Caenorhabditis elegans: one gene and its partner. The protein of the gene in region 1 interacts with the protein of each later gene in a biochemical or structural test. Each region holds a gene or a part of one and is shown on either strand. Other genes may lie near its edges.

Region 1 (3,901 bases):
TTCTCATTTCGGGTTCACGTTTTTTTTTGTTTTTGGATTTTTAAAACCAAATGCTGATGTTTTTTATCACTTGGCTCAAAATGTCCTTATAAAAAATGTTACTTTAATCGTCAGGACTGCCACCTCCTTTTTTATTTAGAGTACACACAACCCCCTGAAGAATTACTGTAGTAATCACAAATCTACACAAAAAAATCTTAAAATTTGTCTCTCTTATTTGATTATATAAAGGACGAAGTTTGGGGTTTCATATGCAGTTTAATAAAAAAGTCTTAAATTAAATTCAGTTGGTAATTTCGGCGGTCGCCAAAATTATGACTAGTTCGTTCTTGTACTGATTGAGTAGTTTTCTTGGAGCTTTAATGTTTAACAGATCTCTACTAAAGTTGTAAACGTCAATTAGTAGATTTTAGTGATTAATAATAACGTAATAATGTAATAACTGGGAAGAAATAAACACAAAGTCATAATAGAAGCAGATTCTTTCATCCATATTCACAATACCCTGATTCACGAACTCGGAAATGTTCTATTGAAATAGAGAACTCAAAGTCTTGAGCATAATAATTTTTATGATATTAAATATAAAAATACAACAAATCGTTTTATTCGCTGTGTATTTTGAAACTGAAAATACTGGAATGCGACAATCAAACAAAAAAGCATTGGGATGTGTTCGGGGGTCGATGGGTGGAGAAGAATTCAAGAGAAATAAAAGACGAAAAAGAGAAGCAATTGTAAAATTAAATGAATATAATTTATTTGGTGACATTTTAGTTAAAAGCGCTTCGAGATCAAATCTTCGTTATTAGAAATATGAAACGAATATTTTTCAGGTCAAGAAATTTGATGAAACGAAAACTTGACGACTGGTGGGGATGGTTGAGAAGAAGGAATTAATTGTTCAGTGTTCAATAATTGTTGGATTACTGTAACATGAGAATGAGAGACTAGACGAGACGCAGAGAAAGAAAGGGCGCATGATGACGTGGATTTTGTTGAAGATGATGAAGAAGATGATGAAAGAGATGTCGGAATGCCGGATTCAAATGAGAAGTTGGTCGAGATACAAAAGTTCTGCATTTGGATCGACTCTTCGTTTTCCGAATCGAATGTATCCAGAGCGTGCCTTTGGTTGACGCTTCTCCGATGCGACTTGACGACGAGCACGGGAAGCTGGAAATGGATTATTAAGATAGTTTTTACTCTGATCAATCCACTTTGATTGACAGTTTTCGGTTTTATTTTGTTTCTCTTTGACGCTGGGAAAACTCAAACTACAGAATATTATTCTGTGAGATCGCCTAAAAACAACAAAATCAGTTGTTTGCCAGTTGCAAAACTTGTAACAAACAAATCTGTGTATTTTACCCAAAATAGCTCGGTTTTTTATAATGACTAAGCCAGCTTGTTAAAAATTTTTCGAAAAAAATCTGATGAAATTGGAAGTTATTTAGTAAAGGAGAACTAACGATATTATGAAGGCATACTCAAAATGTTTTCAAGTGAACGAATTTCGTAGTGAAAATTCTCATATGCCCAAAAAAACCAGTAAATTTTTCTCATGGTTAAAAAACGCAACTTTCAATATTTCAGATTCTTACATGATTTTACTTTGACTCATTTACCGAAAACTGAGTGTATACTAGAAATACAGTTAAAAAGCTTACCATCGCTGATAGGAACAGCAAAAACAGCGGCCAAGCAGAGAACAAAAAAGACGAAAACGATGGAGAGTTGCATCCTTTGCTGTATGAGTTGATTGCCTAGAAAAGTGTCCATGATTCGAGAATAAGAAAAGATTTAGGCGTATAATTAGTGAGATGGGTGAATTCATGGTAAGGTCATGAGAATGAGGAAAGAGGAAAGAAAATGAGAAAATGTTGAAACGAAAGTAGGTACTCTAGTCTCTGAAGAAATGTTAATAATATCAAAAATTCAGCGTGCTTCTTGGTGGTCTTCTTTCATCTTTCACTCCTTCTTCATCACATCATCTTCGGGTCTTTTTTGATCACGTACTTTTGATGACGTGGCAAATTGAATTGTTCTGGTAATGTCTAACAAGGAAAAGGAATAATTGAACACTTCTCTCTACTCATTTCAAAAACAAACTGACCTTTATTATCGGTCATAAACGTTAATTGGATAAGAAAAGTGGAAAAAGAGAAAGGTGAGAGTAAAAGTGAGATCTGAAGAGGAGGTTATCCATTTTGAATATAAATCTCAGATTTCGTTTGAAAGATGAATAATTTGGATACTGGAATTTTTAGGTAATGCACAGGTTTTGAGGGCTTGGATCATAGGTGCGCGACTATTTCCATTCGACAATCGAATTTTTGGCAATTTCGGCGATTTGGCGAATTTCCGGAAATCTGAATTGCCGAAAATATAAGTCTGATAATTTTTGCGTCAAAATATTATTTCAAACGAAGACTAATCTATTATTAAAGAACAAGGCTGATTTTTTTAAAATTTTCTAACTTTAGTTAGGTTTGAAAATTGCCGAAACAGTCCGGCACTCGGCAATTTCGGCAATTATCAAAAATGTTCGATTGCCGCAAATCCGGGCTTAAATGTGATCACGTCTCGTTTGAGGATGGGGCTCGCGCGTGTATTTGATTTGTGGATTCATTGGCACCTGTTGTCAAACGGTATCATATACTTTTGACCTCTAATTGCAAGCTAGCTTGAAGTCATGACAGTGGTCCTGGAGGAATTACAATTGACACCACTTTACATGTAAAATAAATCAAGACGTACTCTTGAATTCCAGAGGTCTCTAACACTAAAACAACTTGAAAACCCCGAATTGAGTGGCCAAGATCATAAAACTGGTGTACGTACCAACAACTACCATCTCATAAAAATGGAATGAAAAATAAAAAATTCGACTTCAATTCTTTGCAGAAGAACACGACGGGCGGAGCATCCTCCCCTGCTCGTTTACAAGCTCCACCCCCTTCGACCCGAATGCTCTGTGGATGAATGATGACGTGGCAAGGGTGGGAGAGATGTGATAACTGGGTCACATCAAACACAAGCCTAATGTGTTATTTCCGTATCAAAGATGGAAAGAAAAATAGATATTATGATGGAACGCAGAATAAGCAAAGAAAAATACGAGAAAGACTAAAATAAACATTTGAAATGAGAACAAATGAATGTAGGAAACAAAACGAATATGGCGGAACTGATCTCGAGATTTTCCGAGTTCAATTTCGTGATTCTTATCAGAGCTGTGCGGCTCTTCGAATCGGGGAAAATCGGAATTTAATTCGAGAAGTAGACACTTGTAAGAAGTTGTATATGATGAGTAGACGAGATAAAACACTAGTCATTAGCCGAGTAATTTTCAAAAAATTTCCCACGTTTTGGAGATGTTCACCCAGGTGCCGAATCGCGAAGCAACACTAGTTTTTTTCCAAAAGTTTTTGTCTTATGATTAGCATATTTTTCCGATTATTTATCCTATGCAATACAAAAAGATCCTTCTTCTCCAACGAAGAAAAATAATTTTTCTCTATATGCATATAAATTTAGCACAGCTCTGAAACCTACAGTAGAGGAGAAACTAAATAATCATAGGAATAATTCGATCTCCGAGCTCTTGAACTCAACACTAATTGAACATTTCTCAACGGTTCAAGTTGTTTTTTCGATTCGAACGTTGTTGTCATGCTTTTCCGCCCTCTATTCATATCCACTATAATTCGATTTTAGTCTGCTAACTGATGCTGACGTAAAGTTAAATAGGTATCATAGCTCAAGTTTGATGATAAATGATACGATACGTGTACGATAAATGATGATACGTGTGATTCAATGACGCCGAGTTCTCAGAATTCTCAGCATTTCCAGAATATGGGAACTGTCTCCATTCTGAGTTGTCACGTACGAAGAG
Region 2 (4,423 bases), on another chromosome or scaffold:
TATTTTTTCAATTAATTGGGTTATTCAAGTAGTGTCGGAAAGTTTAGAAGCAGAGAAAAATTTTAATACAGTTGTCACGTCATTTCTCTATCCTTTTTAATTTTTCGACACTACTTGAATAACCCCATAAAAAAGCATTCCGGGATGTAGTAACTCATTGTCTACGTAAGTGACCCCAAAAACTTCTTATCGCTATACGTCTACGTATTAACTTCACTGACAGGAGAATACTTTTGAAGGTGTTCAGAAAATATTATTCTTTCCGTTTAAAAATTCCGCTAAGACTGTCTGTCAAGATATGAACACTTGAGACTTTTTGCAACAAAAAAAAACCAAACGCTTCAAAATACTGCAATTTTTATTGTTTTGATAGATTAAGAAGCGATTCAATTTGTTAGTGTAGCAGATAAATATGCTATTTTTTCTATTTAGAATTTAAAAAAATTAACAAGTATGCTGAAAAATTATATTTAAGGTTTTAGAAAACTTTTAAATTCTAAAGAAAATTGCTTTAAAAAAAGTCAATTAGACAAAATCATTGAACACTTATTTTTTCATAACTTTGATTTTTAACTTTGAAACTTCAGTTTTCCAACTTTTAAAAGCTGTTCAAATAGAGAAAACACACTATATTAGTAAAACAATACAAGTTTTATTCATTCTCGGAAGATTTCAAGATAAACAAGAATCACATTTTCAAACTTGTGACTTTCAAATTTTTCAGACGAATTGAAGTTCACAACGGGATAAATACAAAAATCAAGAATTATAGTTGAATTGAATAACTACGCAAAGGAGATTAAGACCCGACATATGAGCTTGGCGCAGTTCTATTTATCAGAAAAGTTCGTGGGGACTTTGTTTCGTCGTCATGTCGATGATTCCAACTTCCTGAAAAATTGTATTTTGAATTGAACTTTTTAGTCAGAAAAAATTGTGAGTAAAATGTAGTTATCTCAAGTAGATGATTCATCCTACAATTTTGTTTGAAAGTACTCACTTCGAGTTCCTCTTAAACTATTCTTTCTGGTCCATGGGAAGAATAGTGCTCGGAACGTGGAGAGATACTCATTGGACATGGTGCAATAGAGAACGAAGCTAACAGAGCTGTACAACAGCGTCAGCATTTCCATCAGATTTCCCACTGGATCGTAATACCGATTTCCGAACTCTTCACCGTAGATAGCCACGCACAAGTTAAGAATACCCATGGGTAGTTCTACCTGGAATCAGACATACGTTTCATGGTAATCATAGACAAAATAATATAAATAATCGTAACAATACAGCAATCACATACGATCAGACATTAAATAGTGACTAACCATTACACATAGGAGTAGAATGATGACGAGCATTCGTGTTGTGCGCGGTCTGGTCGTCAACTTTCTTTTTGCTTTTCTCTCGGAGTTGGTGCAAATGTTGGCACCTTGTGTACGCTTCCAGTTTTTACGCCTTCGTTCTACGCTTTTCAAAGATCTTATAAGAGCAATGAGTAGTATTGAGAGAATTAACGACGGAAGTAGTTTGAACACAATACCAAATGCCCAGAAAACTGCGGACACGAGAAGTGGACTCTCTTGATAACTGAGGTCGTACAATGGACCTTCCATTTCGCATTGCAAATCATAAGCAACGTGGTCACGAGCGACAATTTTAACCTGAAACATAGATGAAATCAGATTCGAGATATGAAGATTAACTACACAAACCTCGGATATGAAAAACAATGGAAGACTGATGATAGGAATGATGATCCAAATGATAACGTTTGCTGCGATTGCTGGCTGGCATTTATAGATGAATCTATTCGCTTGAATTGGAAACTTCAGTGCACAATACCGAAACACTGCGACAACGATCGTCGTTGTGAATGCAACTGAAAAGTATTTGAGTACAGTAATATGCTTGCCAATCTAAAAATACTTACTTGTATGAAATACTGTATTCAGGTTGACATTGAAGAATCTATATCTTGTAAATGCTTCGGACCATAATAATTGAACACTGCAAAAAACTGGAACATTGTTTTTTTTATTTGATGCATGACGTACCATTGATATCTATAATACTCAAGCAATAAGTAAAGGAAGTAATTGGTCGCTAGGAGCCATTGTGCAATGGAGAGACCTGTGAGCAGGATGTTTATTGGGGTTCGCATCCGTTTTCTGGAATAACAGGTACATTCATCCGTAAAAAATAAAGAAATATATAACTTACCTTGTGAGCACAATAATATTGAAGACGTTTGAAGCGGCTCCGAATATACAGATAGAAATTGAAAGAGGAATATGAATTTCATCGTAGTACTGCAAAAAGGACTTGTCAGTTATGGCTCGCGACGAGACATTTGTTGCATTTTCACGACCCGACAATCCGAGTTCCGTCCATTTCCCCATTTTTTCACTCTTTCACGTTTCGGAACGAGCCCGAATAGGGAAGCAAATATGGGAAAGCAAAAAAGATTCCGGTTCAAAATGCTGGAAAAGCTTCAAACGTCCATTCACAACCGGATTATCCCAGCGACAATCTCTAACAACGAGATAGCAGGAAAAATTGGACGACAAAATAAATATTCGTTCCAGTCAAAACGGAGTGGGAGGGAAAGGGGAAATCTAGTGAAATCAGTGTTGGAAGTTCCGCCCACTGTGTAGCGCGTGCCCCTGTCTATCAGCTAATTATTTTTCAAGTTGTGTGCATCGCGTGTCCCCCCAAATGACACCATACTGATTCACTGGTGCCCAGTCAGAAACACATAGATGAGTCTCTGAAAGACTAACTCGCAGTGTGAGGCCGTAAAACGGGTTTACGATCGGCTCCCAATAGAGTCTCGTACGCAACTAACACCCAAAGTACACGTGCAGAATTGCAGAATTATTTAGGTCATTTGAGGAATGGGACACTACTCCGAAAATGGGGAAAATGTTTGAAACTGTTCATATGCCGCTACATTAGGTCCTGATAGGTTTTGTTCCCCCAAAATGTTTTAATTTTCTAAAATTAAATTTTCCACCTTTCAAATTAAAAACAAAAACAAAAGTACGGAACAAAGCATTCGTTTCTCCAAATCGTTCCAAAAAAGTTCACGTTTTTGTGGTTAATTGTAACTTAGAAAATTAAAACATTTTGAGGGTAACAAAACCCATGAGTACCCTACAATAAATCATAATAGCAAACTTTTCGAGTCCAATTTGACAAAATTTTCCAAAATTTACATTCGGAGTTGCTTGAAATTTCTCAAACAGTCCAAACTTTTAGAAAACTTGACAATTTACCAAAACTTTGATTGAAATTTTTTGAAAAATCGGAGCATTTTTGAAGTGTTGCACGATTATATTTGACTATTATGAATGTGATTAAATAATATTCCCACTGATGATACTCCAACTTTGATAGTTTCACATAAGTGTTTAAACCAAGTGAAAATTATATTTTCGATGTAAATTTGTCTAGACAGTGACTTTTGTCCTATTATACAATTTGAAATTTCAAGGGTTCAAACTTTTGAGGTTGCTTAAAAAAAACGTCCATGCTTTTTGATAACTTGGTAATTCACCACAACTTTTACTGAATATTTTGAAAAATCTAAGAATGTTTGGAGTGTTTCACAATGATATTTGTTCATGTCAGACTATCATGATTGTAAATTCAAACCCCCCCCCCTCTTCACTGATGTTACTTTACTATTAATAGTGTTTATAAGTGCTTTAAAAACGTTCAATGTTCTTGAATATTCAAAATAGAATGTTGCTTCAACACATCTAATCTCATATCTTGAGACATTTTGCTCTCCGATTAGTGATAACAATTAATTTTTCCTAAACTGTTCTTTGGCAAATATCAAAATTGAAACAATGATCCTATGGCTTCTATCACAAATTTGCAATTTTTCCAAATTTCCAACGCGTCATCAAAACCACCTCCCGAGATTTTAATGCTTTGAACTCACCATGGCAAACATGTGGATATAGCATTCGAAGTATGTACAGATCAGTGTGTCATTCATTGCTGAAAAGCTGTCATTGTGTTCTATGATGTTCTCCATCTGCAACAAAAGACCTGTGTTGTTTTCAAAGTTATGCAGGGAGAAGAACAAGAAAACGTGAGGAAACGGAGGTGAAGGCAACAGAAAAAAGATCAGGAAAAACCTTTTGACGTTATATAAATTATTAAATCATGAGCATTATATAAAGATTTCTGGAGTATAGAAAGTTCCATACCTTAAATGAGTTCAAAATTCAAGAACAGTACGTAGAAATGATTAATGTCTAGTCTCGGGAACTTATATTCCCCTGGCACGGTCTACCGTCATATAAGGTTTTCGCAGTACATTCTGACAAATTTATTGTTGCAGAAAGAAAAAAAGAAAATTGAAAAAGACACGAACGCAGCTTGAGATAAATAATTTTCGAATCCGGTACAC

The links.
Region 2: of the proteins of flp-10 (region 1) and egl-6, one has a biochemical effect on the other in vitro, tested with the Caenorhabditis elegans proteins (2 studies listed by BioGRID, with this or other methods).

The regions. Positions count from the first base shown.
Region 1 is NC_003282.8:7,866,772-7,870,672, reverse strand, and holds flp-10 (FMRF-Like Peptide), read right to left. Parts: upstream 1,767-3,901; 5' UTR 1,744-1,766; coding exon 1,671-1,743; intron 1,177-1,670; coding exon 1,046-1,176; 3' UTR 592-1,045; downstream 1-591.
Region 2 is NC_003284.9:5,930,744-5,935,166, reverse strand, and holds egl-6 (G-protein coupled receptors family 1 profile domain-containing protein), read right to left. Parts: upstream 2,582-4,423; 5' UTR 2,400-2,581; coding exon 2,221-2,399; intron 2,169-2,220; coding exon 2,055-2,168; intron 2,008-2,054; coding exon 1,931-2,007; intron 1,880-1,930; coding exon 1,713-1,879; intron 1,662-1,712; coding exon 1,326-1,661; intron 1,224-1,325; coding exon 1,001-1,223; intron 892-1,000; coding exon 800-891; 3' UTR 635-799; downstream 1-634.